2 linked regions of the Lonchura striata genome follow. The protein of the gene in region 2 interacts with the protein of the main gene of each other region in a biochemical or structural test. Links are inferred from orthologs where the notes say so. Each region holds a gene or a part of one and is shown on either strand. Other genes may lie near its edges. The genes, in order: KLHL6 and RC3H2.

The links.
Region 1: the proteins of RC3H2 (region 2) and KLHL6 form a complex in vitro, tested with the Homo sapiens proteins (2 studies listed by BioGRID, with this or other methods). The link is inferred for Lonchura striata from reciprocal best matches to the Homo sapiens genes RC3H2 and KLHL6.

What each region holds. Positions count from the first base shown.
Region 1 is NC_134612.1:3,011,590-3,027,716, reverse strand, and holds the start of KLHL6 (kelch-like protein 6), read right to left. Parts: upstream 6,796-16,127; 5' UTR 6,691-6,795; coding exon 6,431-6,690; intron 1,509-6,430; coding exon 1,343-1,508; intron 1-1,342. UniProt on the Homo sapiens protein: Involved in B-lymphocyte antigen receptor signaling and germinal center formation.
Region 2 is NC_134624.1:9,908,119-9,924,773, forward strand, and holds the start of RC3H2 (roquin-2), read right to left. Parts: upstream 6,201-16,655; 5' UTR 6,126-6,200; intron 5,694-6,125; exon of another isoform or gene 5,346-5,693; intron 1-5,345. Other genes in the region: ZBTB6 (zinc finger and BTB domain-containing protein 6), read right to left, coding at 8,783-10,078; ZBTB26 (zinc finger and BTB domain-containing protein 26), read right to left, coding at 14,479-15,795. UniProt on the Homo sapiens protein: Post-transcriptional repressor of mRNAs containing a conserved stem loop motif, called constitutive decay element (CDE), which is often located in the 3'-UTR, as in HMGXB3, ICOS, IER3, NFKBID, NFKBIZ, PPP1R10, TNF and in many more mRNAs.

The sequences.
Region 1 (16,127 bases), on a different chromosome or scaffold from region 2:
TCTGGTGTTCTAGGTTTATCTAGTTTTTTATAGTTTACTTTTCTTACTTATGGTAACCTCATAATTTTATCATTATTCTAACAGAGTTTGATGGTTTTCTTAAAGCACCAGCCTTGGGAATCAAATTTAATCTTAATTTTAATGAAAAGTACGGAGGATACATGAAAAACCATAAGTTTATACTTTAGATATTTCCAGAAGGAAAAAAAAGGGGAAAAAAAAAGCTGAGGAATGATCCTTTTGTTTCAAAAGAAAACAAAAACAAGATAGAAAAGTGTCCTGAAAATGAACCAAATGTAGCTGTTTAATGCTGCCAGTTGGTAGTGTTGGTGCATGGAAAATGCAATGCAGACCCAGGTGACATTAAAGTTACCTTTGTGAAATTTTTTCCTAATATCTAATCTAAACCTCCCTTGGTTTAGATTATCCCTTGAGATAATTTCCTCTTGTCCTATGACTTTTTACCTGGGAGAAGAGCCTGATCCCCACCTGGCTACATCCTCCTGTCAGGGAGGTGAGGAGAGCAATAGGGTCCCCCCTGAGCCTCCAAACTGAGCACCCCCAGCCCCCTCAGCTGCTCCTCACAGGACTGGGGTGCTAGAAAGCAGAGTTCCAGAACTGCAGAGCAAAATTTCCATGTAGATTCAGAAACCTGAATTCCCTCATGGGCCACAATGATCACAGAGTTGGGTGTTTCTTGCCTTCCCTAATGAGAGGAATGGACACACACATGCACATTGGCACTTGGCAGGTTATGTTGGTTACAATTTGTTAGCAATTTGCAGCATGGTACCAGACACTGCAATTAGGTAGACCTCACAGGTGATTTACAGGACACGTGAATACCTCATGGACCAAAGGTTGAGTAACACTGACCAACTCCAGCCTCCCACAAATCCCAGGTCATGACTAAAACCCTTTACACACGAGTTCTACAAAGGAGGATGCTAACTTTGTCTGGCAAGCCTTCATCTCAGGGTAGGGGAGACAGAAAGGCAAAGTAATTTCCTGCTCTGGCCAGCCATGCCAGCTGCTGCCCACTAACCCTTCTGACTGGCCTTCACAGGCTGACCTGAATTTTGGGGAGCACTGCCAGGCAGGCAGCACATGGGAGCAGCTCTTGGAGACACAGCCAGGCTCTTTTCCTGTTTGCATGGCACTCAGCACAGCAAAATTCCAGTACATGGCTACCACTGCCATTTTTTACTTTAATGGAAGTAAATATGAAGCAAAATGCTTCCAGAACCCATGAAATCAGAGAAGTTTGCAGTGTGCTAACCAGAGTAAGACACGGTGTTGCCAGAGCAGTGAGATTGGGTCAGTGCATCTGAGTTATCTGTACCTGAAAGAGGCTGGCGGCTTCCAAGACCTTTTGTACATTTTGCTTTGTGATGAGCATCTTGCTGGTGTAAGTGTAGTCCAAGAGTATATTCATGGTTTCTGCATCAACTCCTTTTAGTATGATCTTCTCCTCATATTTCTCTCTTAAATCATTGCAGAACATGGCCCTGGAAAGAAAGACATTTATCTTTTACTGCATTCCAGTCAGGATGAGGCATTCTGAAAACACTGGGCTATTTAGATTTCAACACAGAATACTTTGATTGCTTCATATTTTATGCAATTACTCCTGTTGAAAAGAAACAAGAAAATATCTTTTTGTTGCTCTTCTTCCTGTGTACTCGTGAGTTTGATAAGGCATACACACATGATGCATTCCTCCAAGCTGTCCTCTACAGCAGACCTAGGGCTCCATGGCAGCAAAGGGCAGCTGGGACTGGAGCAGTGCTGCTCTCTCACCTGCTGGCCTCTTGCTGTGTTTCTAGTGCAGAGTCCTGCAGCTCGTTAAGGTGTGGAATTTTCCAAACTTCATTAGCCCATGTGCTTTGTACCCCTTGGCAGGTCAATGCCCCCCTGCTTCCGAGCTGCAGGACTCTGCTGGGACTGAGCCCCGAGGCCAGAGCAGAGCCACGTGTCTGAGCCTGACTTCTCAGCTTCCCAACGTCTCTTGGGCCACATTAACACCAGTGGTGGGCCAGGGGAGAATGGCTTATGGCTTTCTTCTAATTTAGAACCCGACTTTTCTTCTAAATTTTGGGATTGTAGAGTTGGTACCTCTTGGCTAGAGAAACAATTGACTTTGCATGAATTGGAACTACTGTTAGGCAGAAAATGCAGTAATTTCATACATGTAGATAGCAACTCTTCTTTGATGAATAATACTGCATTTGAAAGATGACCACAAGGCATACCTTTGGCACTAGGCAGATATTTCATGTGGGGTATAAATCAGAAATTCTCTAAGGGGAATTTTCATCCATTTTGCATTGTGACAGCTGCAGGACAAACACTCACATCTTCCTCTGCATTTTCAATTTATAGATTTAAGTATTTCTTCCAATGCTTTTTGCTTTTACTTAGGATTTTGATCAGCCCCTTCTTGTTCACTGCATTCAGAGAACAAAATGTCACATTATTTGGAATCTCTCTCAACAGATCAGAATTACGTGAGTCCTCTTGTAACTGCATTGGTGAAAAACATGTGCAGATCTAAAGTGCAATTAGAAGTACTCTTTACCTTGCATTCCAGGCCTTCTTTATTAGTCACACACAATGTTGACAGGACAATGCAACCTGGAAAATGTCTAGAGGTCCCAAGTCTTAGGCCATGCTTTTCTTGTAAAAGAAGTGCCTGAATTAAGCTGTCTGACTGACACATCTTACTGGAGCCAAGACGTAAACAGATTTTATTGCAAAGCAGTTAGGCACGATGAATGGCAAATGGATGGAAGATACCAGCTGCTACTTGCTCTAAGAACTACCTGTTCCTTACCTCAGCAGAAATTTTATAGCAAGGTCTTAGTTACCTCAGTGTGCAAAACTGCCTCTGGATAGAGAGGCCTAACTTTTGAGCAGGAAATTTGGGCAGAGAAGTTACTTGTCAGAAAAGTTGTTCAGCCAAAATTCTCATTTTTCCTTTCACTCAGCTCATTAGAGGTTTTTGCTTCACTGTCCTGCCTCATGGTCCAGCTTCTGCTGCTACTGAAACCAGAATATTTCAAGGCATTTAGACAAATGCTCCTTAACTTTGGTGACCACAAGACTGAGATTCATTTAGCTTCCCTCCCTCTGGCATTGTCAGGTGATGTAAGAGGCGATGTGTGGGCCTCTGACAGAGGTGGCCATCTGAAAAGAGCAGCCCTCAGTTCCCACTGCTCCCTGGGAATGGGCTCCAGCCCGGAGAGGGAGGCTGGCACGGGAGAGCTGTTCCAGTCGTGCGGGATTGATGGCTGCGGACGTCTCACATGAACAAGAAACAGGCCCGTGGAGGGTGCAGGTGGTGTCTGCTCTTCTTCCTTTCTTCTCTTGAGCTGGTGACTCCAGACTTGTATTGACCCATCCCTGTCGGGGAGGTGAGTCTCACTTCTGCCCCACAGAGCGGAGAGTTTGCTAGGGTCAGTCAGAGATACCCAGTGTGACACTTGGGCAAGGCTGCTCAGAAACCAGCCTCAGCCTTCTGCTGGTGCCTTTGCACAGGGTCTGCTCAAAGTGCTTTGGCCTATCTGTCTCCTAATCTTTGTCATTGGTTTAGAGCTGCCATCCGCTCCCAATTTCGTAGGGTGTAGCTGTGAGCTGCAGGACCCACACTTCTAAAGCATGGTGCTCTCCCACCAGTTCTCTGCTCTAGATCATGGCAGGGCTGAATTTGGGCAGTGCTGCACAGGAGAGCTGACTCCTGTGGCCTTCCTTCTGCTCAGATGGAGTGGTTCTTGTTCTCACCCTGTGTGCTGGAAGGGGAGCACCTGACACCACTCAGGCTGATTAGGATGAGCTTCTCTCCTAAGGATTAAAGTTATGTCTCTGAATCTTTCTGAATTTATCCTTATTCTGATCTAAATCATTCAGATGTGGCTACTAATTCCATTGTATGATTCCCTGGGTCTAGTCCCTGTGTGATTCTAAACTGCACATTTGAACCAACATGTACTCTAAGAAATGCACATCTGAATTAAGGGTCCGGTGCCAAAGTTAGATACCCAAAAATGGGTAATTTTAGAAAAAATTCTAAATTTTTTCTAATTTAAAATCAGAGAAATCTCAGTAAAATAAATGATGGGTTGCAGTTTTGTGAAGCACGTTTTAAGCATCCTCCCACATAGGAATGCTTGTGCTTGGAACTATGAACCTGACTTCAAACAACCATGCTGGAGCTCGAGGATACTCTGGAAAATGGATTCAACCTCATTCTCTCACTACTCTTGGGCAGTGCAGGATTAAAGAACTACTGTTCCACCTTAGTCAGCTGGTATTTCTCTTTTCTGCTCTGTTATCATCATGGAGGTAAATGGAGAGCAACAGTTTTTATGTCTACGGGTGCAGGATGTCACAAGAATTAGTCTATCTACTCTCCAGTAGTGCTGAAAAAGGCCAGAAGAAGCCTTCTAACAAAGTTAGTTAGTTAAACAAAGTTAGTTAAACAAAGCTAACCTAGAAGTGGTTAGTTTTGTTAAAGTGTGTTCCAGCCAGCTGCTGTGGATTGCCCACACTGTGGCACCCAGCGTTCAGGAAGGGGTTGTGTAACAGGCAGGGGAATGAAGCCCATGAGTCACTGGGTCCCTTTGCTTTACTCCTGTGCATGGCTGTTAGGAGTGCTGTAATAGCATGGAAAGTGCTCACAGGAACAGTGGGATTTACAAATTCCTTCTTTCTCTGGGGCCATGCAGCTTCTAGAGAATTATGGCAAGATGAATGAAGGCTCCTTGTGAGCAGCAGAGCCAGCAAAGCTCAGTTCCCTGCAGACTTGTGTCCTTCTTTCCCTCCTCCCAGTAACCTCAGCTTCCTCTTCCTGAGCCCTCCATTCTCCTTCCTTACTCCTCTGACACACTTCAGGGTCCCTTGCATGAGCTCAGCCCTGTGCTGGCTGTGCCCAGCAGGGCAGGGCAGTGTGGTTGTTCTGGGCACTGTGTGCCAGGACACCCTGCTCCTTACCCTGCAGCACACCAAGGGTGCCAGCCCAGCATCTCTCCTCTCCTAGCTGCAAATTTCCATCAAACTCACGGGAATTTCAGGTTTGAGACCTCCATCCTGTGCCAAATGTGACTGAAAATAACCCAAAGAGTCACGACAAGAGGCACTGGCAGACAGTGAGATGTAATAAATCTCAGCTCTGTGGGAAGGCAAGCCAAACAGAAGCACCCAGAGGGGCAGACCCTGCACACGTGTGCAGTTGCCTTGGGATGAGATGAGCTCCAGCCAGGTATCCTCCTTCCTTCCAAGGGACAGGCTGTAGCTCAGGAAAAGTTCAGTGGAGAGCTGGCCAACAGCTGTTCTCATAAAATTATCTTGCCTGGTTTTAACTGGGAAATCCTTCTGACTGCAGCATCTTTATTTATAGTGAAATTGGAGTTTTTTGTCAAAGTATCATTATGATAATTTTGATTTTAATTTGTGCATCTGCTGTCCATTACACACATAATGCTGGTAAGATATATTTGGACATCTCTGCTTTTAGCTGTATATTTTCTCATATGCAATAAATGTAGTCTCTCTGTAGAAATAATACCTGTCTCCAAATATTCACAGACACAATCTCTACTCTAGATTAGAAAAGCAGAACTGTTCTTCCAGGCACTACCAGCAAAGCTTACCAGACTCCATATAAAATTAGCTCTCTGCTCATGTCACAAGTGGTCACAGGTTCTTTTTTCTCGTGTTTCCCCTGTAGCTGTTCAGTCATCTGACCACTTTAGCAGTAAATGAAAGAAAGAAAAAAATCCCAGCCATGCAAATGTGATGGTCTAAATGATATTGTCTAAATTATATGGAAAATCTGTGCTAAAGCTGATACTAAGTTCCTCTGTGTGTCTAAAATTTGTTCTTATTGGCCAGTAGTCTCAGATAGAATATCTATTGTACTGAAAGAATGAAAAATTCAAGTGGACCAGAAGGAAATGCTTTCAAGGGGATATTTCCCATTGCAACTGATTTCCAGATGGAAAATTCCTTCTCTTTCCTCCTCAACAATTTAATGCAATATATATTTTTACCTGAGAATGGTAACAGAAAAAATTAGCAAGTTCCAGAAACCCACTCCTATTTCAATAAAAATACCCTGCTATCTGAATGAGTATTCCTCTTTGCTCAGGTCCCAAAAGGACAAGACAAGTGGCTAAAGATGCTTGGTCAAAACACCCTTTTTTCATGCACTTGTCTGCCAATATTCTGTTTTCCTTTGCCTGCCTCCAGCAGACTTTTTGAATGCTGGTATCAGAACTCCAGCAAATCCACAACTTAGCACCTGCCTTATTTAAGTCTCCAACTTTAAAAAAAACTGAAAGACTTTAACACCCAGTTTGCACTCCTTGAAGACCTACAGTTCAAGTCTAAGAAGCAAAATAAGTGTATTGGTTTTGTTTGTTACAAACCTTACCTGAAATAATTGCTTGCTGCAGCAAGGACCACTCGGTGACAGGAGAATTCCCTGCTGCCCACGCACAGGATGACATCAGTAAGGGAATTTTCAAGCCGAAGGTTCTCAAGGCCATTCTGGAGCACCAGAGAGAGACCTGTATCATCAAACTTGACCTTTTCACCACTGGAGACTTCCACCAGGTCCCCCATTTTCGTCGAACACTCATTGTTCAAAGAGATCTCGGGCTCCTCAGAGCTCTTCTCCAGCGTGTCCCCCATTTTCTGGCCAGCCCTGTCTCATTCTGTTGGTGCTTCGATCTAAAAAGAGCTCCTCAGCTTCGGGCAAATCACACTGCAGAAGTTGGGCGGATTTCCTGTCCAGAGGTCTCTGCTTATCTGTAGCTGTCACACACACATAACAGGAAGCCTTGCACTTTCTCATCCTGTTAACACAAACAGAGGCTGGGTTTTTTCAGTGATTTTCAGGCAGTATCAGCGTGTTTAGAAAGGCCTTAAGATGCCTCTGGATGTGAGAAGATTACAAGTGACAGGGACAGCCTGCTTCCCAGCCTCAAGCCAGTCCCTCACTGTTATCTGCTGGTTCTATTGATGGGTGCACCACATGCCTATCAAGCACTCCTGATGGACCAGGCTGCTAAGGGGAAAAGAGTAATATTCTTTATTTCTTTTTCCAGGCATGAAATTATTAATAACTGATTTGGCTTGGGGTTTAGTTTTGGATTTTAGTAATACGTTTGCATATTCAGAAAGTCCTCCAAATGGATGTTTCTGTCCCTCATGACTTTTATTAGCTGGCAACCATTGCATGGCTTTTCTTTAAGGCTAAATGGGCACAACTGTCTCAAGGACGTGGACCAGCATCAAAGATCTCACAGCTGACAGTCTTCAGGCTCCACTGCTGGGCACAGGGATGTGGTCCATGCCACCAGTGCCCTGCCATCAGCTCTGACAGCACTGAAAGCTCAGGGAGAGAGCCTGGGGAGCAGTGTGCCCATGCTCATCCCCCCCATCCTCACTGATGGGCGTAGCTTGAGGCACAGCTGCATCTGACTTGTCCCCGAGACAGACATGGACGGTAGCAGGACCAAGGCTGCACATCTGGCAGTGGGGACACTGCAGGGCAGCTCTGGGGCTGAGCCTGCAGCAGGAGCACACAGAGCACAGTGCTGAAGGTTTCGCTGTCACCTAAGGATGGACCAGATCTACTTGGACATCACTTAGATGAGAACCTGATCCAAGCTGAATGAATAAGCATCACAGCCTACTGAGAGTACCAGAGCAAATCCCTGGCTTGCTTAGGAAACTCACACTGGGAAGTAGAAAAGCACACCTTTATCTCCCCCTGAGAGGAATGTAGGACCAGTCCTCACCTCGGTAGCTTGACTGCTAACCAAGCTTGCCTTTGTGATAATTACCTCTAGGAATCCTTGTTTGGCCAATCCACAGGTTCTTATTGTGTGTTTGGATTCCTCTTTGTCTCCAGCTTGTAAAGTTGAGCTCACAGTATTATGGGAAACTTGGCTTCCCCCTCTTCCAGAAGGAGGTCAAAGCAGGGTCTGAGAGAGTCAGATTGGAAGATGAAGAGGAAGGAAAGCAAAAAATATCCTGCCTGCTTTCCTCTACCTCCTTGTAATGGGGCTTTCTTCATTTTGTGTAACCTGTGAAGCCTTTTGGCCTTTTCCTTTCCCAGCTGATTTAAATGTGCTCCTGCTGCCTTTTGTGCTAAGTTTTGCTAATGAATGCTTCCTTTTCTAAAGCCAGTTCCTTCTTTCCCAAATACTCCTGTAGGAATACAATGAGAAAATTACCAAACCTCTCAAAAGTGCTAGGTATGCTTTAAAAACCACAATACTTTAACCCTATCTTGGGCTGGGTTCTCCTTGTTTATCATCCTGACTTCTGACCTTTGGGAATTCATCTTATCAGGCTTTTCTCTGAGGGTGAGAAGCTTCACATTGTGCTTATCTGTTCAAGCGAAAGCTGAGATTCCACAGCATCACCTGATTCCAGTTGCTGAAGCTTTAAGCAAAGCATTAATAATGGTGAAATTGAAGTAAGTCAGTGTTGGCTGTGGCTGCTGGGAACGGAAACCCTGCAGTAACTAGGTCGATGGCTGTGGTATTGTCAGTAACTGCACTGCAGGAAGGACCTCAGCAGCTCAAGGAACTGTTGACTATTAGCAGTAATCATTATCCACAGTCTGTCTCCTTCTGTGTCATTGCTAACCCTTATGGTGTATTTTTAACCCCTAAATTCTGGTTTTTTTCTTGACAAGCACCTCCCCTCCTTTCTTCTGTTGCCATGGTGTTGTGGTTTAACCACAGCCAGCAGCCCAGCCCCAGGCAGCTTGCTCACTCCCCCACCACTGGGACCAGGGAGAGAACTGGGAGGACAAAAGATGGAAAACCCATGGGTTGAGATAAAGACAGCTTAATAGGCACAGCAAAAGCCACACATAACCAAATCAAAGCAAGGACTCTCTTCACTGCTTCCCATGGGCAGGTGGGTGCTCAGCACTCCCAGGAGAGCAGGGCCCATCACACATGATGGTTACTTGGGAAGACAAACCCCATCACTCCAAACGTCTCTCCTTCCTCCTTCCCCCCACATTACATCCTGAGCATGATTTCACACAGCCTGGAATATCCCTTTGGATATTCCCCACACAGTTGGGGTCCCCTGTCCTGGCTTTGTCTCCTCTCAACTTTCCAGGCACTCCCAGCCTTCCCACTGGTGGGGCAGTACAAAAAGCAGAAAAGGCCTTGGCTCTGTGTAAGCCCTGCTCAGCAATAACAAAATCACCTCTGTATTATCAACCCTGTCCAAATCCAACCAAAGCCCCATACTAGCCACTGTGAAGAAAATCAACCCTACCCCAAACAAAACAAACACATTCCACCCATACTCCATATCATTCTCATCATGCTCAGGTCCCACACTCCTCAGTGCACCCTCGTTAATCACCACCCCACCTCCCACCCTTGGATATAATGCACAGATGTCAATCCCTTAGTCTGTGTGCTTCCCTTGAAAAATGCCCACAAAATCTCCCCAAATGTCCATAAAATGTCCTTTCAGTTAATTTACTTCGTGACTTTGGGCTCCATCTGTTCTGGTGGTGACTTGGGACAGGCAAGGTGCTGTGTAAGGGAGAGGTCCTGGGCACCAAGGCCATCTTAGGTCAGGTCAGTTCTGCCCTGCAGCTGCTTCTTTGGAGGCTTTCCCTCCATTCATTTGGGTGATTCCTGTTACACTAATTCCCGTAACATACAACTCAAATCATGGCTTACAACAAAGGTGTAGCCATTACAGTCTCCACCCCAGGTCCCTGCAGGTCACAGTCCCTTCCACCCCAGTTCCCACCGGAGTTCCAGCCTGCCCAGTGCAGCAGCACAGACACAGCAGCGATGCCCTGGCCACCTGCCAGCCCAGGTCCATCACCATGGCTGTCACCAAAGTGCTCCCAGGCACAACACAGTGCACAGTGCATCAGCAGCACAGCAGCAGGGACTACCAATGAGCACCAGAATGTAATTTACAGGCAGGCAAGCAAGTCCTGTGACAGGCACAGCAGCCTGCTCATTACTAGCTGAACTGCAATAACAGCTATAAATTCAGTCTAGTACATCCCAGTGAAAATCTGAGCCCTCTGTGCCCCACATTGGGCTGCCCTGTGTTCAGAGAATCCCTTGCTCAGGGATTAATCTGCAAATGTAGTAACTAATTTCATTCTCTGGGCTAGCATGAGGACAATGCTGAGGTGAGTGTTGTGTCTTTGCAGGTATAAGGGAACAGCAACCAGGCAGCTGCTCTCCTGAGGTGCTCTCTGGCCCAAGACTGCAGTAGCAACATGTTATTTAATCCTGGGGTAAATCCAGTTTGTTACTTCATGGTAGAAGCTTCCAGATACATTCTTCTATTTGGCCTTTAGGGACTTGTTCTGTCTGCACTCTCATACTGTTTTCAGTAAAGAATTACCTGCTAGCTAAATGAACTGGTAAGAGCTGAAGGCTTGTCTGTTCATGACTGGTTTGTCTATTCCTATCTTAGGAATACTGAACATATTGTGTATGCTCTGTATCAGCTTGAGAGAACTACCTGGCTGGAATTACTGTGCCAATAATGTATATCCCTCTCTTGTGTCATAGCAAGTTTACAGAGCCCTGTAACATCACAGGCTGCTGCTGGTACCTGTGAATCTGCACAGTGCATTTGAGCTGAGTTCAGAGGCTGCATTCCATCCTGCCATGACTTCCTCACCTCTGTGTCTTCTCTACCCCCTTGACCATGCTCCCTGTTTAAATGTTGCTCATTTTCAACTGTCTGTTCCTGAATCCAGGATCTCATCACTGTGGCATTTCAGCCCTGTAAAGTTTGACCTCGACACATGAATCTGCCTAGACTAGCCAGGAGTCCTGGTTCCCATCTTGTAAAGTGAAAGATTCAGGCTGTCCCAGGAAAAAGTCATGGACTTGGGACCATGACTAAGAGGAGGGACAGAAGAAATCACACCCACCAAGAATGGATCAAGAGCAAGGAGCTGAGGCATTCTTTAAACAAAGGTAGAAATACAGGAACCTATTCCTGACAGTTCTTGTTACTTATTTTGCTTCCCACATCCTTGTACTTTTAGCTAACAGAGACCTTAGGGACCAGATGAGTCTGAGAGGAGCCACAATGGTATCACAATGGGATCTAGAAACTTCCTACTCTAAGTAATGAGCAGGTTGCTGAACTTGCAGATGGCAGTGACTTCATATCTCTGACCTGGAGCTCATACAAAGTGGTCCTTGTTGTTTCTCTTCTTCCTCTTATTCCAGACCATGTCCATTTTGCTGCCACAAATGATACTCCAAGTCTGTGTGTTCTGTGACCAAGTGTCTCCTGTTCCAGGCTATTCCACTTGTTACACTCCAGGCAGCTTTCAAAGCTGAAGCCACCCAAGAACATGTTGACAGCTGCATCTCCAGGCCTCACCATGCTTCCTGAGGGCTGTGGGGCAGCGTTCCTTCATCGGAGAGAACCTTCTTAAAGGTGCTGCCTCCAAGAGAGCAAGGACACAACAGCAGAAGAAAGGTCTTGGCAAGGTTTTGACTCCTTCAAGTAGAAAAACACTGCAATTCTTCCACTGTGCATCCCAATAAGCACTACAGAAAACACCTCAGAGCACAGAGGGCCCTGCTGGGTAGCAGAGACAGTTCCTTGGTGTGGGAGCAGGGGTGGGGACTGCAGCTGGACACGTATCAGGGCTCATCTTACCATCAGCTGTTTTCTAGCACAGTGCAAAGCAAGATAGCTGAAGCCTGAGATAATCTTGTCAACCCTGGAAAGTTGCTGGATTTTTGTCTGTGTTTTCAGTACATTGGGATAAGGTTCACTTGCTCAAAATAGCACGTTCTTAATTTAGCTATGGGGGAACAAATGGGATTTCAGTTTTTGAAAATACATACAGAACTTTTGGATCAGATTTTCTGTAAACTGCAAACTGGAATCTTTGTTTCATTGCAGTTTACTTCCTCTGCTGAACCAGCGCCACCTTCCATTTCAAAAACTACTGCTGAGACTTCTCATATCCCTCCCTCTGGGCAGCTGCAGTTGTTCAAAGTCAGCAAACAATGGTGATTTTGTGAAGCTGGCCTGTCTCATACCCTCACTCTTGAAAATTTTTTAGAGACGATTGCAGTGTTACCCTACAGTGTTGCATTTATTACCTGTCCATCTTTTGCTCTCAGAGGGTTTTTGCATGTATTTTAAGTCACTGGGATCTTTCTAGAAAAACTGCTGCTTCCATGTATTGTTTCCTTCGGGATAGTCAGGCAATGTGCTAACAATCCAGATGAGTGACTCCAAACCATGCTTTCAGCTTGTATAACAGAGAGGTCCCAGCTGGCCAAGCTGTAAATGCCAAATTATTTGGGTTCAGTATTTGAAGTCTGGTTGTTATATTGCTCCCACGTGTGCTACAGGCTATGGAGGTCACCCCGATGTGTGGATGGGCAAGTTGAGCTCAAGAATCTTTGATGCCCTGCTCATTAGCTTTTGAGGGAGTGGTGGAGGAAGGCTGCTATTTAAATTAGTGTTTGGTCTATTTGAAACAACTGAATTGCAGTCTGGGGGTGCAGTATGGTCACTCCCAAAGCAGCAGGCAGAGCAAGCTGACACATCACTCATATTTTAAGATTTTATAGCCCAAGATGAGATGCATCCAAATGAAACTGAAGGGCTGAGGCCAGGAATGCAGCTGTAGGTAAGAACCAAAAGAAATGCAGTGGGTACCAGCCATGGCAGTTGAGGACAGCTGTAACAAGCCTTCCCCAGTCAGAACAGTCCTTTCCTCCTCCCTGGAAGAAGGATAGCCTTTCGTCAACACCTTACACTATTGCAGGTTTTTCAAGACAACAGACAAACGTTCCTCCTTTTCTGTCCTCAAGATAATCAGTGTTTGAAACAAAATAGCAGCAGTTACTTCCATTTCTTGTTGTTTGTGAAGATGCAAAGAAGGTCCTAAAGTTAGTTTCAGGTAGGGAAGAAGAATCTCACTTTTTCTAACTTAGAGTTGAGTTATTCTCGAAAAGATTTTGCCAGCATTACTCACAAAAAGGTTTTGTCATCAGCATCAGACTCCCTCTTGTTTAATTTTATGTAGCAAGATGCTCAGGTCACTTGTCTACTGTTGTCTGCTCTGCCACCCATTAGAATTTATTAGCATCTTCTCTGTATTATTAGCTAGTGGCTGTTTATGCAAAAATAATTCTTCCTCTAAGTAAATTATACCTTTGATCTCCATAATTGGACGTCAGGAATCAGGTCCATGCTAGAAGAAATGCAGGCCTGTTGTGCTCAGTGATATTTGATGTGTTCTCTGTGCACCTTGATGTGCTGCTGCTGCCAGGTTCTGGTACACGAGGTAAGGAACACAGCCTTGGCCAGAGCAACAGCGCCATAGCTCAGACATTTGTCCCACAGCTTAACAAAGCCTGACCAACAAAGCAGCTCTTGAAATGAAGGAGAGCTGTTCTGCTTGGCAGGAGCTGGGAACTGGAGGAAGCTGCCATTGCAGTGAATTATGTAGAGGTCCATGTTTTAGAGCTTGTTTGGTGTTAATGGGACTCTGCCTGGACTAAAGTTTGAGTTCTTGAGTCTAATCATAATATTTGTTGAATAGGCATCTGAAAAGCTCACAGTGTGATCCCAAACCATGGGAAATGAACCTAGTCTCTGACTGATGTCTAAGGCAACGCTGACTTTTATTTCTCATGAGGCCTGTAGATCTCAGCTAGTTCTTTGCACATACCTAACTGTGATGAGTTCACACTCTGAGTGATGCTCCAGAGCTGTGACCGAATTCTGCTTTGATTTTTTGACTGTGTGAAGCTTAGAAATGTTGGCCCCAAAATCAGCGTGGTCCTTCCTTACCTTCCTTGTGGTGGCATTCTGCTAGCTGGCAACACGGATCTCCTTCTTGGGTTGTAAAGCCTCTCAGCCTTACTTGGGAAGACCTCAGGCAGAGAAGCCAATGTGATGGTCAGCATGCCCTGTACCCTCACCACTTGCTGACTTGCACCAGGCTGCTTTGTTTGCTTCTCTGCAGGACTGAGTCTATCAGACCAGAAACCCATGTGGACCCAGAGCAAAAGAATGAAGTCCAGTTTCAACTTTCTGAAGCCAAATGAGATTTTTTTTTTTTCTGGAGCTGGTAACAGGAGAAGGGAGCAGGACTCTTTTCAAGAAGGAGTGACACTCTGTATAGGGCACTCAGCAGATCACAGACTGTCTTCTTTTTTTGACCATCATATGGTACAGTTTCTACCACTGGTTTACATGGGGTCATTTACTAGCTTGTCTAATTATCAAAAAAATAAGGATGGCATTGGCAAATATTGTTACTCTTGGAACATAAGCTTATTCCAGGAATAAACTTATCCCAAAGTTTTTGTAATTAATTATTGTGTTTCCTATTCTGACACAATAAAGGGGGGAATTGGTTAACTGACAAGTGACTGCTGAAAGCTGAGCCTTGCTTGGTCTAGGGGAAAGAAGTAAACTGGAAAGAACCAGAAATCTACATCTTTTCAATAAACAAATACATAACTTTTGGTCAAAGTGCAATTTGATTTAATACATCTACATACAAATGCTCTCCTGTAAAAAACAGCATCTACATCCATCTGATTTTCCAGGTGACCCTTTTCTTCCACAGCTACTTTTTTAGCTCAAACCTGACATTTAAACTTGCCATTTAATGGTGGAAAGAACGGTGAATGTCTGGTGAACCTCAATATTGGTTTAAAAAAAATGGACTATAGTTCTCAGTTAGTTCCACATCATTACAGCAACTGAAGCTTCATTAAGTTTTAAAATATTGTTAAAAAAAATTTAATGTTTGCAGTTTTTCAGAAGGGTGTCTTACTGTCTCTTTTGCAAGAAATTTAAACTGGTCCTTAGGTAGCATTGTTAGGCAAGAGAATTCAACATTACTTATAGAGGAAGAGTCTTTAATCTTGACTCTGTATGAATCACAGGATCATAGAATGGCTTGGGTTGAAAGACCTTAAACACCATCTCATTCCAGCCCCTGCCATGGATCCACTAGAACCACATGGTGTGAGCCAGGGAGCTTGGGGATGTGGATGAGCCCTGCTTCCCTGCTTCACAGCTGCCAGCTACCTGCAGCCTACGGAAAAATTGAGTTGGTAGATTTTCAGCTAAGTAGCTGAGCAGGTGGGAAAATATTTATCTGAGCAGAAATCACGCTGTAGAAATGTACATTTTGCTAATTATTGCCAGTAGCAAAAACCGTTATTGCCTTTTACGTAAGTGAATTATGAATGACCTAAAGTTAGAAACAGTGGAGGTGAGTTGTTACCATCCGCATGCAAATAAAGGTATTGCGTGAAGTGCAAAGATTTCAAATATAAAAAGAGGAAGTGCTGAAAAAGTTGTAATATTTCCTCTTGAGGAAGGGAATTATCTGAGTGTGTTTTGACTACCTGTATACCAAATTTGAAGGAGCTCTGCTGTTAGAAGCCTGTGCCTTTGCTAGCTTGGTTTTTAAGCTGATCAGAGTTATCTTAGGTTAACACAGCCGCAGCCGTAAGCGGAGGCCAGAAAAGCACGGACAGTCTGCAGAGCCAGCTCGCCTCCTCCCGTGCCATGCAGCCCGGGCGGGACGTGCCGGGCTCTGCTCTGCCCTCCGCATCCCCAGCCGCTTGCGGCTCCCGCTGCGCACCCCGGGCGGGCTCTGAGCGTGGCACAGAGCTGCCCGTGGGGCACAGCAGGACTCTGCCACCCTCACCAGGGAGCCCGAGCGTGGCACAGAGCTGCCCGTGGGGCACAGCAGGACTCTGCCACCCTCACCAGGGAGCCCGAGCGTGGCACAGAGCTGCCCGTGGGGCACAGCAGGACTCTGCCACCTTCAGCAGGGAGCCGAGGGGCCGGCGCTGCCCCCGAGCACCGCTGTTCCTCACGGGAGTGTTGTATTGCTCTGGGGAATGGTTTTCCCCTCCCCAGAGACCCCAGTAGCTGTGACCTGTTAGTTTGACCCTTCCTTCCTTTCCTGAATCAACTGGCTGGGAGCCAAGTAGCCCCTCCTGTACTGAGCCTGGATAAGGCTCTGTCCCTGCCTGGTTCTCTCTCTTTCCCCCTTCCTCCTATGGAATAAACATCTTGGACCACATCGGGGGTTGGAGCCTCCT
Region 2 (16,655 bases):
TCTAGGCAACCTACAGACCAGTTGGGTCACTTCAAGGCTATGAACAAGATTGTTACAAATGCAAATACACAAATGTTTTAATTACATCTTTAGAGTTCTATTTTTTTTACTCTGATGAGAAAAAAAAGGCAATTGCTCCGAGGAACATGAGATCTCCCCTCTGTGTTCAAATTCAGAAACTCCTTACTGCAGTTCCATTGTTGGCTGTGCTATGGCTTAATTAATACTAAAGTACCAGACCATTGAAAGAATTACTAGAAGACCAAATAGACTCTTATCTGTGGATGTATTTTATGTTAATTATGACCATCTGTTGAGAAATCCTATTTAGTACTATGAACATTCAGTGCCCTTTAAGTAACAGGATACTTGTACAAGATGTCCTTATCTCAGCGAGCTTTTCAATATTATGCAGCAATTTTTGCCTCAAATGAATTCCCATAGTAAAACACACCAAACTGGAATCTGAACCTCTCAAAACCAAACTGCTGATGTTACACTTCCAACGTAAGCCAGAAAATTCCCATGTATTGGACAAATCAGATTTTCCTCTGGCTTCTATTGAAAGCACAGGCAAAGCTCTAGCAGGGATGAACACACCAAGTCATCTTTAACATGCTATTGCTGCATGTGTCTTTTAACCAAGAAAATTTAAAAGCAAAATAAATAAGAATGAAGCCAAACACTGAGCCAACAGGCCTAGAAAGATTTTTGATTCCTCTGCTAAAAATCCCACCATTTCCTTTAGCACATCTGCTTCCCTTCTGAAACAGTCAGACAAGAAAGAGATGCACAGAACTGCAGAGCCTGTCTGTAAACACTTCCCTTACAGCTTTCTGCAGCACTACCAGAAATATTAAAACACCAACACCAACGTTACTGCTGACCTAGGGCTGATAGTGGTGCTTTTTCACTTGACTGCAAGACACAGGTAACAGCACCAAACTCTCTGGGAAGTGTGTGACTGTCATGACTCACACCGGGAAAAGTTTAAGAGGCTGGTACACAGAAAGCTCAATTGCTAGTATGTCACTAACGAGCTCATAATAAACAGTCCCTGTGTCCACACTGCTCATTAATTATCTCAGATGCAGGGATCTCTGCTCTGAGACAATACCCACGTTTGGTTTCCACAGGTGCTTCAGAGCCTTGCAAGAAACTACCTCTCTGTTTGAGCTTTTAAAAAATATAGTTGTTTTCCTGACCAGCATAGAAATGAACACAACAGATTCTTCAAGTGTGCAGCACCGGTTTTAAAAAATCTATCTCTGGGTGTTTAATCATCCCAAATGACAGATTCTACTAAGCATGTGTTGACCTTCAGATTTCTTGACAGGAAAAAAATCTAATTAAGCCAGCAAACAGCTGGGAATAGCTCTCGACTCCCAAAACTTCAAGCAGCCATAGAGGGAGGAATCTCCATACTTTATTGAGCCTGCCAGCTCTCCTGCCACTCTAACACCCCAGTGTGTAGGAAAACAATCTCACATCTCCTAATTACCATGTCAACTCCTACAAAAAGCATAAGCCAAATGTTTAACAGATTCTTGCTCCTTGTCAGAAACAATGTATTTCAGGGATGTCCTCTTGAAGAACAAATTGCTCCAGCACTCTAAACTGAGCAAACACAAGGAGGAGAGCAAAAAAAAACAAGGAAGGTAAACTATTAATCCTTTGGATTCTGTTTTTAACAGGCAGCACACTCCATTAGAACAACTACCCTTGGCCTATCTGCTCATTCTGGCGGATTTCTTTACACTACACAGGGCTCCTCTTCCCTGTCAAAATAGAAGCACCCTGCAAAAAAAAAAAAAAAAAAAAAAAAAAAAAAAAAAAAAAAAAAAAAAAAAAACCCCAAAAAAACAAAAACAAAAAAAAACAAAACCAAAAAAACAAAGAAATGGCTGATACAGAAACTGGCCAGACATACAAGGAAGCAGTCTGCAAATTCATGGCAGTTACTACTTAACAAATCATTACATAGTGAAGTTACAATTAGTTTTGTGGCATTACTACCAGAAGCGATACTTCAGATGACAAACTGAAAATCGTACAAGCCTAAGTTCAGAAATTATGTAATAATAAAAACCAGTACAGCTGAGTAATGTGTTTTTAAAACAGTAGTATTTTCCTATTGCAGTCATGGCTGCAATGGATCAGAGTAACAATGATAACGGACTGATTTTCTCATTTTAGACCAGAATATCTGATGAAATTGGAATGTGCGGTGTAAGGGGAGATAAGTGAAACCTCAAGATCTTCCTCAAACAGCTGTACCACTTACAAATGATCTAAGTTGTAAGATTTAGATGTCCTTTACAATTTTATATTAACTTTTAGCTAACTAATCTAAATCATTATGCTTACTCAATAACCTCTGGACATGATAAACAGAATTCAATTCTGATTTCCTGAAGAAACCAAGCTTAGGTGATCATACTGTTCTGTCAGACTGCTCCTCTCCCACACTGCTCAGTCAGGGCATTTGCCAAAATGCAGACAGGCAAGTTTCACCCCTTATCACAGAAAGGGTTGATGGCTTAACTCGTTCCCCCCAGCATCAGCTCTGCCCGGCTCAGGCTGCCTCCATCAGGTCCCTTGTGGGCCTGAGCAAAGACAAATAAGCAGAGCTTGGGTGAGAATGAGGCATGGAATAATTCTGTCAGTGCTGAACAAAGGGAAGTCTTCTCCACAGATGAAGGAAACACTTGGAAAACGTGTGAAATTATATGGCATTTTCACATCTGAGGTTCAATTACAATCCTACTGTGGATTTAAGCCTAAATCTTAGAATTCTATTGATTTTGAATCACTAAATTAAAGAGTCCTTAATATTGACTTGCTCTTAATGCTGACTCCAGAGATCATGGAATTTTCTTTTCTTTTTTTAAAGCAATCTCCATTAAAATTGTTCGTTTATGCAGATGAATGGTTGGTTTGCACTACAAGGAGGCAGCTTTTCCCAGCTTTCCTTCCTAAGTTATGTAGTTCCTGAAAGCATTCTGACTGGGTCAAAAACTTACATATCACATAATACAATTATCAGTATTAATATATTCGCTGGAAGGGCTCTCTTTAACAGCCATCATCCACACATCTAAAAAACTGGCTCCATTAAAGGCTTGGGGAAGGACCCTCCCCACAACAGCTTTGCATCATTCAGCTATGATGGCTTGAAATTGAAATAAATCCTCTTTACTGAGGTGCCTTTTCTATGCCTACACTCCGTAATATCTGTCACATGCAAATCTCTTTACATGATGTGAAAATTTTCTATGTAAAGTCTCTAATGACCATTAAATATAGTATTTCAATGCAATTCTTTCACTGAACATTAATGCTCAGGAGTATCTGCAGCCCAATTCAAGCTCCAGGAAAGTCACCAATAGAAATTCTGGTGGAAAGGGACACACGTCCAGCTCTGCTTCTCGCAGGAGGACCTGACACTACAGCTCGTGTCCAGGAGCATCATCCACACGTTCCTGGTGCTCTGGCAGACTTGGTGCCACAACCACTTCCCTGGGGAGCCTGTTCCAGGGCCTGGCCGCCCTCTGGGGGAAGAGCTTTTTACCAATGTCCAACCTGAACTTCCCTGATAGCTTCACTCCATTTCCTCGTGCCCTAAATATAGATCTGAACGTTTACACGTACCCAGACTACGTTTTGCTGAAATGCCTACAGGATTCTCTTGTTAACTGGTTAAAAAAAAAATCAAAGCTTTAATCCCCTCTGCCTCCTTAAAACATGTGGCTGAAGAGTAACTCCTATCAACAAGGGTACGATATAAATTTATGGTCATGGTTGCTCAGTGACTGCCAGTGTTCACTCAATTTGGGATTAACTGCCCCCAAACCAACACCAGAGTCAGTGTACCCTCAGCAGTTCTCACCTGCTCAGTCCTTGCTACTGTAAATCATGTTAGTAGATATTAAAAGTTTCCTAAATACTTATGTAATGCCACTGTGGGTTTTTCCTTGCGTTTCCAAGGTGTCCCTGAAAGGAGAGCCTGTCCTTGCCACCAGCCTGATACCAACTCAGCTTCTGTAACAGTATTGACTTTTCAGGACTAACTGAAGGGCAAAAAAATGAAATTTTTTTTTTGCCACCCAAATCAGTTGAACTCTCTCTAAGCAGATCTACTTGGACACAGTTACTCCAAGAAGAGATACAGTGTAGAACTCCTAACTTCTCAGTAATATTTGCTGTGAATAAGGACTCTCACGTATGGTTTAGTTCTCCAAGCTTTTTTTTTTACATGACCTCCATGTTTAAATTATATTTTTTTAGATGAGAACTTCTGTATTTTAAACCATTTTATTGAAATACCAAGTCTATTCTGAGATGTAGGCAAGAAAACATAGGGCTCACAGGCGCTGGAAAACTTTTTTAAAGGTTGTACAGAATGACTTGAGATGCCCGCGGACAAATAATTTTTTCCTTTCCTTAGGGCTGTCCAGTCAGCAAAGAGAGATTCCCTGAACATTCATCCCATCAAAGATATATAAAATATCACCAAATGAAATGCAACATACTCCTAACAAATACTATCAGCTATTACCATCTGCTTATTGTAAATATTTTATCTATTTTAAAGCAACAAAGCCTTAAATAAATGAGATCACCACTCAAGATCAGGACTTCACTTTGGGATACCTAAAGCACTGACACTAAAATTTGATAGAATTTAGTATTTTTGAGAGAAATGGCCACAACCTCAAACAAGACAGAAATACAAGTTAATAAAAACACAAGTTAATAAAAACATCTTGGGGAAAGCTTTGCTTACAATGCAGAAACAAAACTTCATAAAAAAGGTGAAAGTCTTGGGAAAATGATTCACTACAGAAATTAAGATGTCAGTGTTTCATGGAATAATATTTATACCAGCAACAGAAGTTTAAATTTCTAGTATTTCCACAGATATTTAGAAAAGACCAAAGGTCAAAGAATAGTATTTTGATTCTGAAGATTTACGGCTGTACTGGTTGCTTCTCATTTAAAATTAGATCTCTTCTGCCACAACTGCAAATTTACACCCTTGTAATCCAAAGGACTGTTTTTAATTTTAGTTTTATTATTATGATGTAGCTATAATGGCCATGAGAGAACAACCACAAGAGAAGCTACAGGAACTACAATTAAACCCAAACAAAATTCTAAGTTGGCATGGCAATTAAACAGGCCTAGATCAGAAAATCTACTGGTAGCCCGTCTAAACTTTGTCATTATTTTCTGTCGTTACAGATCCATGCTATTCTCCTCTGAACCCTGCATGAACTGAACACTCATCACTCTCCCACCACTCTGCTGCCCTTCTGTGCTTTGTGCTGACTCTTACACTTAACTGGAAACCCTCCGTGCACCTCGAGCATCAGCAGAACCGGGACACGCTTTTCCTGCTTCGTTGTTTTGTGTTTTTGTGTTTAAGACACTTGAAACATGACACGGTGGGCGCAGTCCTGGGGCACATCTCCCACCACGACTCTCCTCCACCATTACCCTAACGCACAGCTCCATGAGTATTCCAGCCTGGCAATATCCATGGCTCCGGTGCACCTCAGCGCGGACTGCCCGGTGCTGCGGGTCCCCAGGGGGCTGCCAGGGAGGGGACCGGAGCTCCTGCCTGCGTTGGCCGGTGCCCGGAACGCCGGGCGGCCCCGCGAGTGCCCCCGCAGCTTCGCCCCGTCCGCAGGCCGCTGTCAGCCGCACCCGAGCCCGGCCCCGCTCCCGCACCAGGCCCGGGCCCTGCTCCCGTTCCGGGCCCGGCTCCCGCTCCTGGGCCCGGGCCTGGCTTCCCGTTCCCGCTGCCCGGCCCTGCTCCCGCCGTCATTTCGGAGCCGCCACCAAATGGCTGCCCGGGTCCCCGGGCCGGCCCCGCGGCCTGGCGGGGCCCGCCGGGCGCCGACACCGCTGCGGTCCCCGACGGGCCGCACCGGACGGGCTCAGCCCGCCGCCGCCCCCGCCCGGCTCCCGCAGCGCCGGGAGGCAGCGGAAGGACCGGGCTGCGTGATGGGGGGGGCGGAGGTGGGGGGGGGGGGGGCCCGGCGGGTCAGCGCGTCCCCCGCGGCGGCCGCCCCCGCCCCGCTCGGCGCGGCCCGTGCGGGGCGGTGCGGTGCGGTCCGTACCTGCCGGGCGGGGGCGGCGGCCGGAGCGCGGTCGGGCGGTGCCGGCCTCACGCGCCATGGGGCGGGCGCGCGGCCCGGCGGAGGCAGCGGCGGGAGCCCCGGCGGCGCCGCCTCATCGCGCTGACAGCGGCCCCGCCGCCACGCCCCGCCACGCCGCTCTCGCGAGAGCCGCGCGCCGCCCGCCGCGCGTGACGGCGCGGAGGGAGGCGGTTACCATAGAGACGGCGGGGCAGATGCGCCCGCCGCCAGGGCCGAGCCCAGCGGGGTCAGCGAGACGGCGGGACGGAGCGGCGGCCGCCGCCGCCAGCGCCCCCTGGTGGCGCGCCTCGGGCACAGCCGCCTCAGCGCTTCCTCGGTGCGCAACGTCCGCCTCTGGCCTCCACTACTTATTGTCCTTTTAAAATGTAATCGGTAACTTTCGCCGCTAGTGTCGATTATTAATTGTCGTTCTAAATCGCAATTGATTACTTAATTGCTGCTGGCGCTGAGGAGGAAGAGGGGATCGGAGGCGCTCTCTGGCCCACGCCGGCTGTCCCCGAGCCGCCTCAGGCCGGCGGGGCCCCGTGAGGTGTGGGGAGCGCTGCTGCCCCAGCACGGCAGCCCCCGGAGCAGCGCCCGGCAGCTGCAGCTGCTTCTCCGCTCACGCAGATAACACAGCCTACAACACAGCCAAGGTCACGGCGGTGCAGAGCTGTGACTCCTCAGGGGGAAGAATTCATGGCACAAGTGGGTCAGACAGACTCCTCTGAAGGACAGAAGAACGCGTTACTAAATGACCGCCACTGGAACACCGTGTTTTGTTTACTACATCTTGTTTACTCAACACAGCAAGCCAAAATAATAACTGTTAAGGTATGCATAGCATTATTAACTGCGATCAGAAAAAACGAGGTGTATTTCTGACACAACGCCTTGTTTGCATTTCATTTATTGTGTTATGACAGGGCATGGTTACATGTACAGACAGGGGAGAGTAAGCTCCTCTAAAGTGAACGTGCACAAGACCAGGGTTTGTCCACAGAGCTTACTGAGACACTGCAACCACTGAACAGAACATGCTGGTGGCCCGTCACACAACACAACTCCCTCTCATGTTTACATGCACGACCGAAATAACTTGGAACCTGTTCCCACAGAAGACACACTTCAAAAGATCAGTGTGTTTCCCCTTTGGCACACAGGGAAGTAAGTGCTCATGAGGGAAATACCCAAGCATACACCTGACCTTGCCTGTAACAAGTAGTAACAGGAACGTGGTAGACATTGTACATACCCCAACCCCTCACGTAGCTGATCAATAAAACCCCAAACAGGTTCGTGCATTCACAGACACGGGGAAGGAAAGTGAACTGACATTAAAAACTATTGTCTCAGATTTTAGAGCCAGCCAGATTCTGAAGCATTTGGGCCAGACTCCTGGACTCAGAGTAAGAACTTGGAACAGCACTTCTGAAACTCGAAGGAAAGCGCGATACAGAAAGGAGTAAGAACTACTGCTTTTTGCTAGTTGTAAGTACCATTATCTCATATTAACAACTGAAATAACTCTTTATTCATATTACATTAAGTGGAAGAAACAGGTACCAGCCAAAGACACAGACTGCATCTCAGGGCGCGCGATGCTCATGATGAAACTAAAGGGACCTTTAACAAAGCACGAACACAATTCTGCAAACACACCTCATTACTGTGTTACCGTGTCACAGAATCAGGGTATGAGACCTCTATGTCTAAGCCATTGCTAGTCAGACAGAAATGCCTGGTTTTCAAAATTAGCATTGAAACTGTGATTACCCAACAGCACACAGCTAAACTTCACACAAGTGCACATAGCTAAGATTTGTAAAAAAAATGAAGGCAGATGTTATGATGCAACAAACAGGACTAAACTTATCAAATACAGGTGCAAAACATTGGTATGACAGAAAAAAATCCCACTATTAGAAGAAAGAATTTTATAAAAATTCAGAACTTGATAAAAGTAAAAGCAAGTCCTTTTCACGGGACTGTCCAGTTACAAATAAACTGCAAGGCAATACTGTTCGTTTCTTTCTCTTTTACAAATTTTCTGTTTGCAAGACACAAATTGAAAGGTTCCTTGATTAGTTTTTGTTTGTTGTGTGTCCTTAAATGTCATAGACTTGAATATGAAAACACACCTTCTTCCTGGAAGATCTAGCAAAGTTTGGGCAACGAAGGAGATGATTTCACCACGAATGATCCAGGAACTGGATGGGAACTGGATGCTGAATAAATACAAACACCCCCTTCCCTCAGCTGCTGTCACCAACACCACAGTTCAGGCTTCAGCTTATTGCAGTATCAGTAATAGTCTGAAAGTCAGCAGTGCCTGCCCTTGAAACAAGAAATATAAAACATCATTGGGGGACTAGGATATACTCAGTATAATAGAAAAGAAGCATGAAATAATTTCCCATATTTTGAAGTTTACTTTCAACTAGGAAACACCTTTTTTCACTGACAGCAATAGCAGCCTTAACAGAGCAGGCAGGTTTCCTACTCCAAGGCCTGTCTTGGATCACCAGCCACCTGTTTATACTTCTCTCTCTTAAATGGGGATCTGGAACTGGAATTGCATGTCGAATTTCACTAGCCAGGAGATTTTTGTGGAGTCTGACTCCACAATTGCCCAGCTATCAATCATAGTCTATTTTAACTTTTGTAATAGTGTTCAGGTTTGGCTTTTCACTGCTGCTCCTTCCATGAACAGAAGTCAAGTGTTTTTTAAGAGCAGACTTGTGTTTAAAGTCCATGTCGCAGCAGTGACACTTGTAGGGTCTGTCCCCACTGTGGATGTTGAGGTGATCCTGGAGCGTGCTCTTGGCCGTGAAGGTCTTCAAGCACACCATGCACTGGAAGGGCCGGATCCCCATGTGCCCTCGGATGTGCCTGTTGAGATTCTTTTTTTGCGTAAACGTTTTGCCACATTGCAAGCACAGGAAGAGTTTGTGCATTTTCAGATGTCTGAGATAGTTCTCGAGGTGCAGAAAGCCCCTCGGACACTTTGGACACTGGTGCCGCCATGAGCTGCCAGAATCCTCCAGGCTCTGGAACCCATTCCCCCCACTAGAAGTTCCTTCTTGATTATCACCAACAAAAGCCTGAAAGTGATTTCCTGACATTTCTGTATTCCTGCTTTCAACTGTAGAGTTTATCAAGGAGTGCTGGGTTTCTGGGAAATATAAATTTGTTTTAGAGGAAGTGCAAGGCTGAGAAAAATGATCATTTTCTACGTTCGCCACATTCATGGAATCCATTCTAAAGATACAGATTTCATCATCCTTATACCCAATTTCCACTGTTGATATTTCTGGGGATTTTGTGTCCTTCCTTTCTGACACCAAGCTCTGTGGTGCAGGGTGCGGGCCATCCCCATCGCCATCCTCATCCTCCTGTTTCACGGGGTATTCTTCGTTCTCTGGGCTGTCTTCAGAGATCTCGATTACTTCACAATCTTTATCTAAAACCTCATCCCCGCTCCTTAGTTCAGCATCCGAGGAGTGGCACCCCTCAGCAGCCTGGGTACTGCTCTCCATGGAAGCGTCGATCTCCAAGTACTTGGACAAAGCCTCGGTGCACTTCTCCACGATGTGAACCATCTGCAGGTAACTCGCGGCCGTCAGGTACTTGAGCAGCTCCTTCTTCTTGACCTCCAGCGCGCCCGTGTAGCAGGACAGCAGCAGCTTCCTGCCCACCTCGGCGCTCTGCAGGATGGTGATCCGCACCTGCCTGGACTGGTTGAGCAGGAACTGATCCCGCATGAAGGTGGAGCAGGCGGCGAAGATCACCTTGTGCCCCTGGAACTCGGTGTCGTTGATGTAGATGGACACGTCGCAGAAGAGGTTCTGCTGCCGCAGGAGGTTCATCTTTTGCAGCACGGCATCGCCCTGCTGCTCGAACTGGAAGTGCAGCACCTCCGAGTCCGCCGCCATGGCGGGGCCCGCGGGCACCTCCGGAGCGTCTCGCCGGGCGCAGCCCACCCCGCCTCCGGCAGGACCCGCTGTCCCGGGGCTCCCGGGCCGCCTACCGCCGGCCGCGATCCCGCTCCGCCCGCTCCGCGGCCGCTCCCGCAGCCCGCGCCGCTCCGCCGCCGCTGCCGCAGCGCCCCGGAACAGCTTCCCCGCCCGCCCCTTCCGCCCGCCCGCCCCCGGTGCGCCGTGACCGCGCTGGAAATGAGAGGCGGCGGCAGACAGAGTTAGCAGCACGTTTATTAGAAGACTTGGCACTGCTACAGCGGCTGCCGCTGGGGGGAACCGCACCGGCACCGGGGCGCGCCTCGCCCACCGTTCGGTAGAGGTAGCGACGTGTCCGACCCCGTAAGGCATCCCGGGGAGCGACTACCGGGGCTCCTCCTCGCCATCAGCCGGGACGCGCCGGGGGAACGGCGAACCGCCGTCCCGAACGCCGCCGGGACGAGCTGCTGGCTTCTTCACGGCCACGGGACATCGCCCGGCAGCCGCCGACCCGCCTGCTTTGGTTATCACACGTAGTGTAAGACTTTTGCCCAGTCAGTGAAGAGGTAGCTAATGCTCAGTCCATCGATTATACAATCTCAAAGGAAAGGCGTTCTGTCCTTCCTTCTCGCCCCTTACCAAGTCGGGAGGCACCACTATGTCCCCCTCTTTGTTTATAAAAATTAACATTTAACGTGACTTTAGAGTTCTCTCAACAGTTTCAGTTTGTATCACATTTTGATTCTCCCTCCTCACTTGTACTCCTCCTCCCAGTGACTTCAAAACCATAATCAGCCCCACACAATTTCTGTTATTTCAACAAAAGTTCAGCGGCAGCTAAGTTTTGCCAAAAAGCTAGGGGAGAGAAAGACTGACACTTCAAATTAATCAGTTACTAACTTGCAAAACATGTCTTCTAAAAGAAAAATAAATTAAGGAAAGACTCATCCCTGATCTATGCAGAAGGCTGTGCAGTTGCAGCATGTGCTGCAGGAACACATGCTACACAAGCTACCATCACTCAGAGAAGTGGTGAGCCCAAACCTCTGGCAAACCTAAATTCTAAAAATTCCTTCTTCTATATAATATAAATAAATAAAATGCCAACTTAAAAAAAAAATTCCTAATATACTGAGGAGTTATTAAAATACTTCTGTAATAGACTTCAGTTATTTTTAGGATATGCAGGAAGTTGTACAGCACATTAAGTCGTGAGACTATCCACTTACCAGCAAATGGTATTCTACACAGTAACACACAGATTATGATAACTGCCATAGTCCTCATCTGAATATGCAGCATCAGTAGCAACAACCAACGGATCTAATCTTTCACTACTCGGGACATTGCAATGAAGACAACATTTTACATACATGGACAATTAAATTCACCTTATTCTATAACTGAGCTGCCTCTGCATATTCCATTTATCATAATTCTCACTCCATTTTAATCTGTAATTCAGAGAAGCAGCATTAGCCAGATTTTGCTTTTCTATTACCTCTTCTGTGCTCTTCACTTGTTTTTCCACATAGGGGCAAATTCTAGATGAACTCTACCACCAGTGCACTTTGCATCGGCGTGTTGCCCTCAGAGCTCCAGTGTTTCTGGAGTCACGCAGCCATCTCCTGCATAAATCTTTTGGTCTGCACCCTTTTGCCAGGCTAAAAGCACACATTAGTAAAAGTCACTTTTCATCCAACAGATGTGTCCATTTTCAGTGAAGAAAGTCTTCTGCATTTCTGCTTTTTCCTATTTGTTTATGCTGTGCTCTTGCTAAACGATCACAGCAGCCTTTAACTGAGCAGCCCAGCAGTCTTGACCTTCTCAGACGTCCAGATCACCACAACACAGGGTGGACTGAACACCCATGCATCTTGGCCAAATTATTTCTTTTGTTTCTTAGGAAACCCCTTGTCTCTTCATATCAGCTTCAAGTCATCCACAGCAACTTCAACAAGTTGTATTCTCCTTACAGTAACATGACAGCTTCATAATTTCATAAAAACCAAAACTTTCCAGATAGACAAGACTTTCAATACTGTCCATTTTGCTGCCATGTTTTCTAGCATTTGTGCAGTTTTATTCCTTTCTGTGGCAGAAGACCATTTTCTTTTTTGTGTCCATATTCATATTGCCTTGGATTGTTCACTAGTACCTTACAACACGTTGATCTGGCTCTGCAAGCTCTTGTTCTCCACGTCTATCTTCATTTTGACATAGCAGTATAACTTATTTCCATTTAGTGAATAATACATTATCAAAATGTTTGAACAATACAGAAGATTTTGCCTGAAGACAGAATGCAGGTGTCAGATGCAACTGTCACAGTGAAATTTAGTTCAAAACAACTCTGAAAGTGGGTGGCTTCAAGAGGAAAAACAGTTTTTCCCATGCAAACCTATCTTCTACCCCAGCAACCTGAACAATAATTTTAAAAGTTTCAAATAGTTAGACTTTAGGCCTAAACATATTTGCTACAACTTGAAAGATGAATGCCCTGATGTAATTTCCTTTGCTTACTTCATAGCTGTCCATATAAGAGTTCGTGTAACAGTCAAGTGCAGTAGTTCAAGAACTCAATTGCAAAAACTGATTCATAGAATCACCTTTTTTTTCTACTTCAAAGTATGTGGATATCTGAAAACGGTCTGCAACATTAACATGTTTTAACGTCCATCAGTGTAATGTCTGCGTAAGGAAATCCTGACTTCTACACACACAAAACCGAAGAGCAAGACCAATTTTTGATAATGACATACACAACACTTTTTGCTCTAACACACCTTTGGTCATACCTGTTTAACATTTTTAACCATACAATAGCAGCCTTTCATCCCCACCCCTCATTCAAACACACCACGTACTACGTTTAGGTAGGAAGCATAATCTCAGCCTCACGGCAAACCTTGTGGAAAGGAGCTGCACTGGAAGAAATCCTTATTCCAAACACAAACAGCAGTTCTCTGCGGAGGATCAGCCATTTGATTATTAGTCTGTGCTACACTTCAGTACTAACAGTGCTGTTCTACTGGGAATGGTGTGCCTCAGATAAATTAAGCTTCTTTCAGCCTGACTGGGATGCGGATAATTCCACAGCACTTTTGAGAAGCAGTATGGTATAATCCCAGAATCCAAATTAACATGCCATTCCCGCTACATTTGATGTTTAAGGCGGTATACAAGAGGTATTGCTGAGTACAGTCAATAGCTGATATATTAACCTATAGAAATTGTGCTACCTATATCTCATCCTAGGATCTGTAAAACACTAACGGTCACTTAAAAAAAGTTCAAGAAATCAAAAAACTTTACGTTAAGTTCTTATAGCAGGTATTTTTGTTTAAAGTTAAGTGACATGTGGCCCTTATTAGACATCAAGGAGAGACACACAAGAACTAAGGGGGGGAAAAGCAAAAAAAAAAAAAAATCATGGAGTTGTTACACATTGCAGCTTTAAAAAGATTCTTTTCACAGTGTCAAAAAGCAGTATTTCTCCACTCCAGCTTTGCTCTAAACCCAACAGCTGTTGTGGTTTGTGATGCAAAACTTACGGAAGATGGAGGATAACTTTTAGCTTTGAAGTGTTTAGCTTGTCTCAGTACATGCACTGGTAAGTGCCCTTTAAAAATCCCAGGTATGTCAGCGTAAGAACAGGTCACATTTGCACTCCAGGACCAGCCTCTCACATTCCAGAGCTGCAATTTATCCTCAGTTTGAACAGCTCTATGCAATGATCAGCTAACCCTGCCAAATCATTTAGGGTTTCATCTTTTCATAATGCATGTTGAGGTTAAAAACCCTGAGAGTTTTTAAGAGAGCATTGATTGGCAGCAGAAGTTTCTTGAAATAGGTTTAGAAAGGGCAAAAAAGTGACACAAAAATACTTCATTTCAACTGCAGGAGTCTAGGGGTAAGATCAGAGAAAGGTAATTTTAAGAGGTAAGTTTAAATTTGAGTATATGGAGTGTTTTCAGTTATCCAGTGCTTTTTGAAAAAAATATCGGGTTATCTCACACACTTGTCCTCTTTGCTTTCCTCCATCTGCCCAGACACAGAGAAGCCTCTAACTGCACAGCAGATGGTTTACTTGCAGCCCACAGCAACAGTCTTTCAAAAGGTGTTAGTCTTGAGTCTCCTAATCAGAGAGAAATGAAACAATTAACCCCTTAATCCACAGTAGAGACAGACAGAAACCTGAAGGATTGCTATTCACAGAAAATATCAAGTAAGACTAAGAGCGATGGCTGAAGACCTGCCAGGTTTTGCAATCCAACCATCTGTAGCCTTTCAGGGCACACCACTAGTTTAGGGAAATAGCCAAACCAACGGTTTGCTCCTCTCAGTCACGATCCCTACACAGGGCGAGTTTTAATTGCTTAATTGACGCAGGTACTATCGTTTCTTAAACCAAGCACAGCCTGAGGCAGCTTCCCTGCATCCAGTACCTGGCTGGCATCAGCCTGCTGACAGACCTTACTGTCTGTAGCAGTGCTACATGTGAATGAATCAAAGTCCACTGTTATGTCTTGCACGTTTCTTTCATTGGCATTGTCAAAGCTATTTTTACCGTGCAGCTGTTTAAGGTGTTTCCTCAGAACGGGCTTATGCGCAAAGACCATGTCACAGTAGTTACACTTGTGGGGCTTGTCCCCACTGTGCAGGTTGAGGTGGTCCTGTAAGGAACATTTCTGAGAGAACGTTTTCCCACAGATCTTACATTGGAATGGTTTGATGCCTGCGTGCACTCTCATGTGCCGGTGGAGATTGCCCTTCTGAGTGAACGTCTTGCCACAGAGCAGACACATAAATAGTTTATGCATCTTTAAGTGGTTAGCATAGTTTTCCAGATGCCGAAATACTCTTGTGCACTTTGGGCACTGATGGTGCCACTGGAGGCCTTTGTCTATCCCTCGGTTGTTAGGCCCAAACATATCTTTAGAGGCCAGAATGATGTTATCGCTGCCGGCATATGAAAGGGCATAGTTGTGGAGGTGGTTTTGCTCTATTTCATTTGCTCTGTTCTCAACAGTGGAGTTGATAAGAAAGTGTTGAGGCTCTGAGGAATGCAGTGCAGTTTGTTCAGAAGAAATAAACTGATTCTGATCCTTCTTATTCCTAACTTCTGTTACCTCCCCAATGGACTCCACCTTGATGATCTGAATGTCACTATCCTCCATGTCCATGCTGTCTTCTGAAGGCTGAATACAAGGCGAGTCTTGCTGCAGAGAGTCATCATCCCCCTGATGTTCCTTCAGCTCTGAAGAGTCGCTTTGCTGTTCGCACTCTTTGCTCTCCAGCGGTTGCTTGGGTTTGATGAACTTCCACAGGGCCTGAGTGCACCGTTCCACGATGTGGCTCATCTGCAGAAAGCTCGCAGCAGTCAGGTAGTTCACCAGTTCCATTTCAGGGAACTCCAGAGTGCCACTGTAGCAGGAGAGAAGCAGCTGTCTCCCCACTTCTGAACTCTGCAAGATGGAGATTTTTACATCTCTGGAGTCGTTCAGCAAGAACTGATCTCTTAAAAAAGGAGAGCCAGCAGCAAAGACAATTTTATGCCCGTGAACTTCAACATCATCTATATGGACCACGACATCACAAAACTTGTTTTCTTCCCTCAGTTTGTTCATCTTCTGTAACATTGAATCTCCATAGTTGTCAAACTTGAAATGAAGAATATCTGATCTTTCTGACATTTTTGCACACCTAAGGAAAAGCAGCAGAGACAAAACCAAACAATGAGTATTTTTTGTTTTGTAAAAAGTAGGTTAGATTTCAAGTAATAATATATAATGTGGGAGTTTATCAGCCGTTATATTTCTCATTCGAGGTATACACTGACTTCCATTACAAGTAAGAACAAATCCAAGTTTACATTTCACATTACAATTACTTTTACCTTTTTTTAATGTAATGAAGCCTGAATATTAAGTAGAGGTGCTATGACAAAAATTCTCCTGAAGCAATATCCTAAAGAGTTAGGGTGTAAAGGGAAACTGTGTTTTAAGCAAGCTTTGGGTTTTGCAGCACTGGGTTGATCACATTAGATCGACTTTCAAGTTCTTCTGCAGGAGTTAGTTTGTTTTGTGTTGTTTTGGGTTTTCCTGAGATTACAGAAAAAAGTCTTCACAATGGCCTCTGCTAGGCTCCCTGTTTTGAATACCTGGGAAATAAAGTAAACCTTGTGTCTAGTCTTGCTCTTTGGAAGACCACTTCTCTAGGAAGTTTGTTCTCGTTTTGATAGGACTTGGAATGAAGAACGGTGGATCTTCCATAAACGAAGTACCATTACTTTGTCTTTCAACAGTTGCTTTAAGAATTTATAAGACTACACTGATTCTGGATGAAACACTGCTCACACAATCCTGCCAAAGCACTAGGATTGCAGGAAGTGAAGAAATAACAAGAGACTAAATGATGCAAAACTTACACCTCCCAATTATTACAAACACCACATAAAGCTCGAAAGGAAGCTTTGAAGTTTATAGATAAAAGCAGATACTGCTCTCTTGGGGCATGAAGTGTCAGTTGGGTGTACACACAGGAATGGCATTGT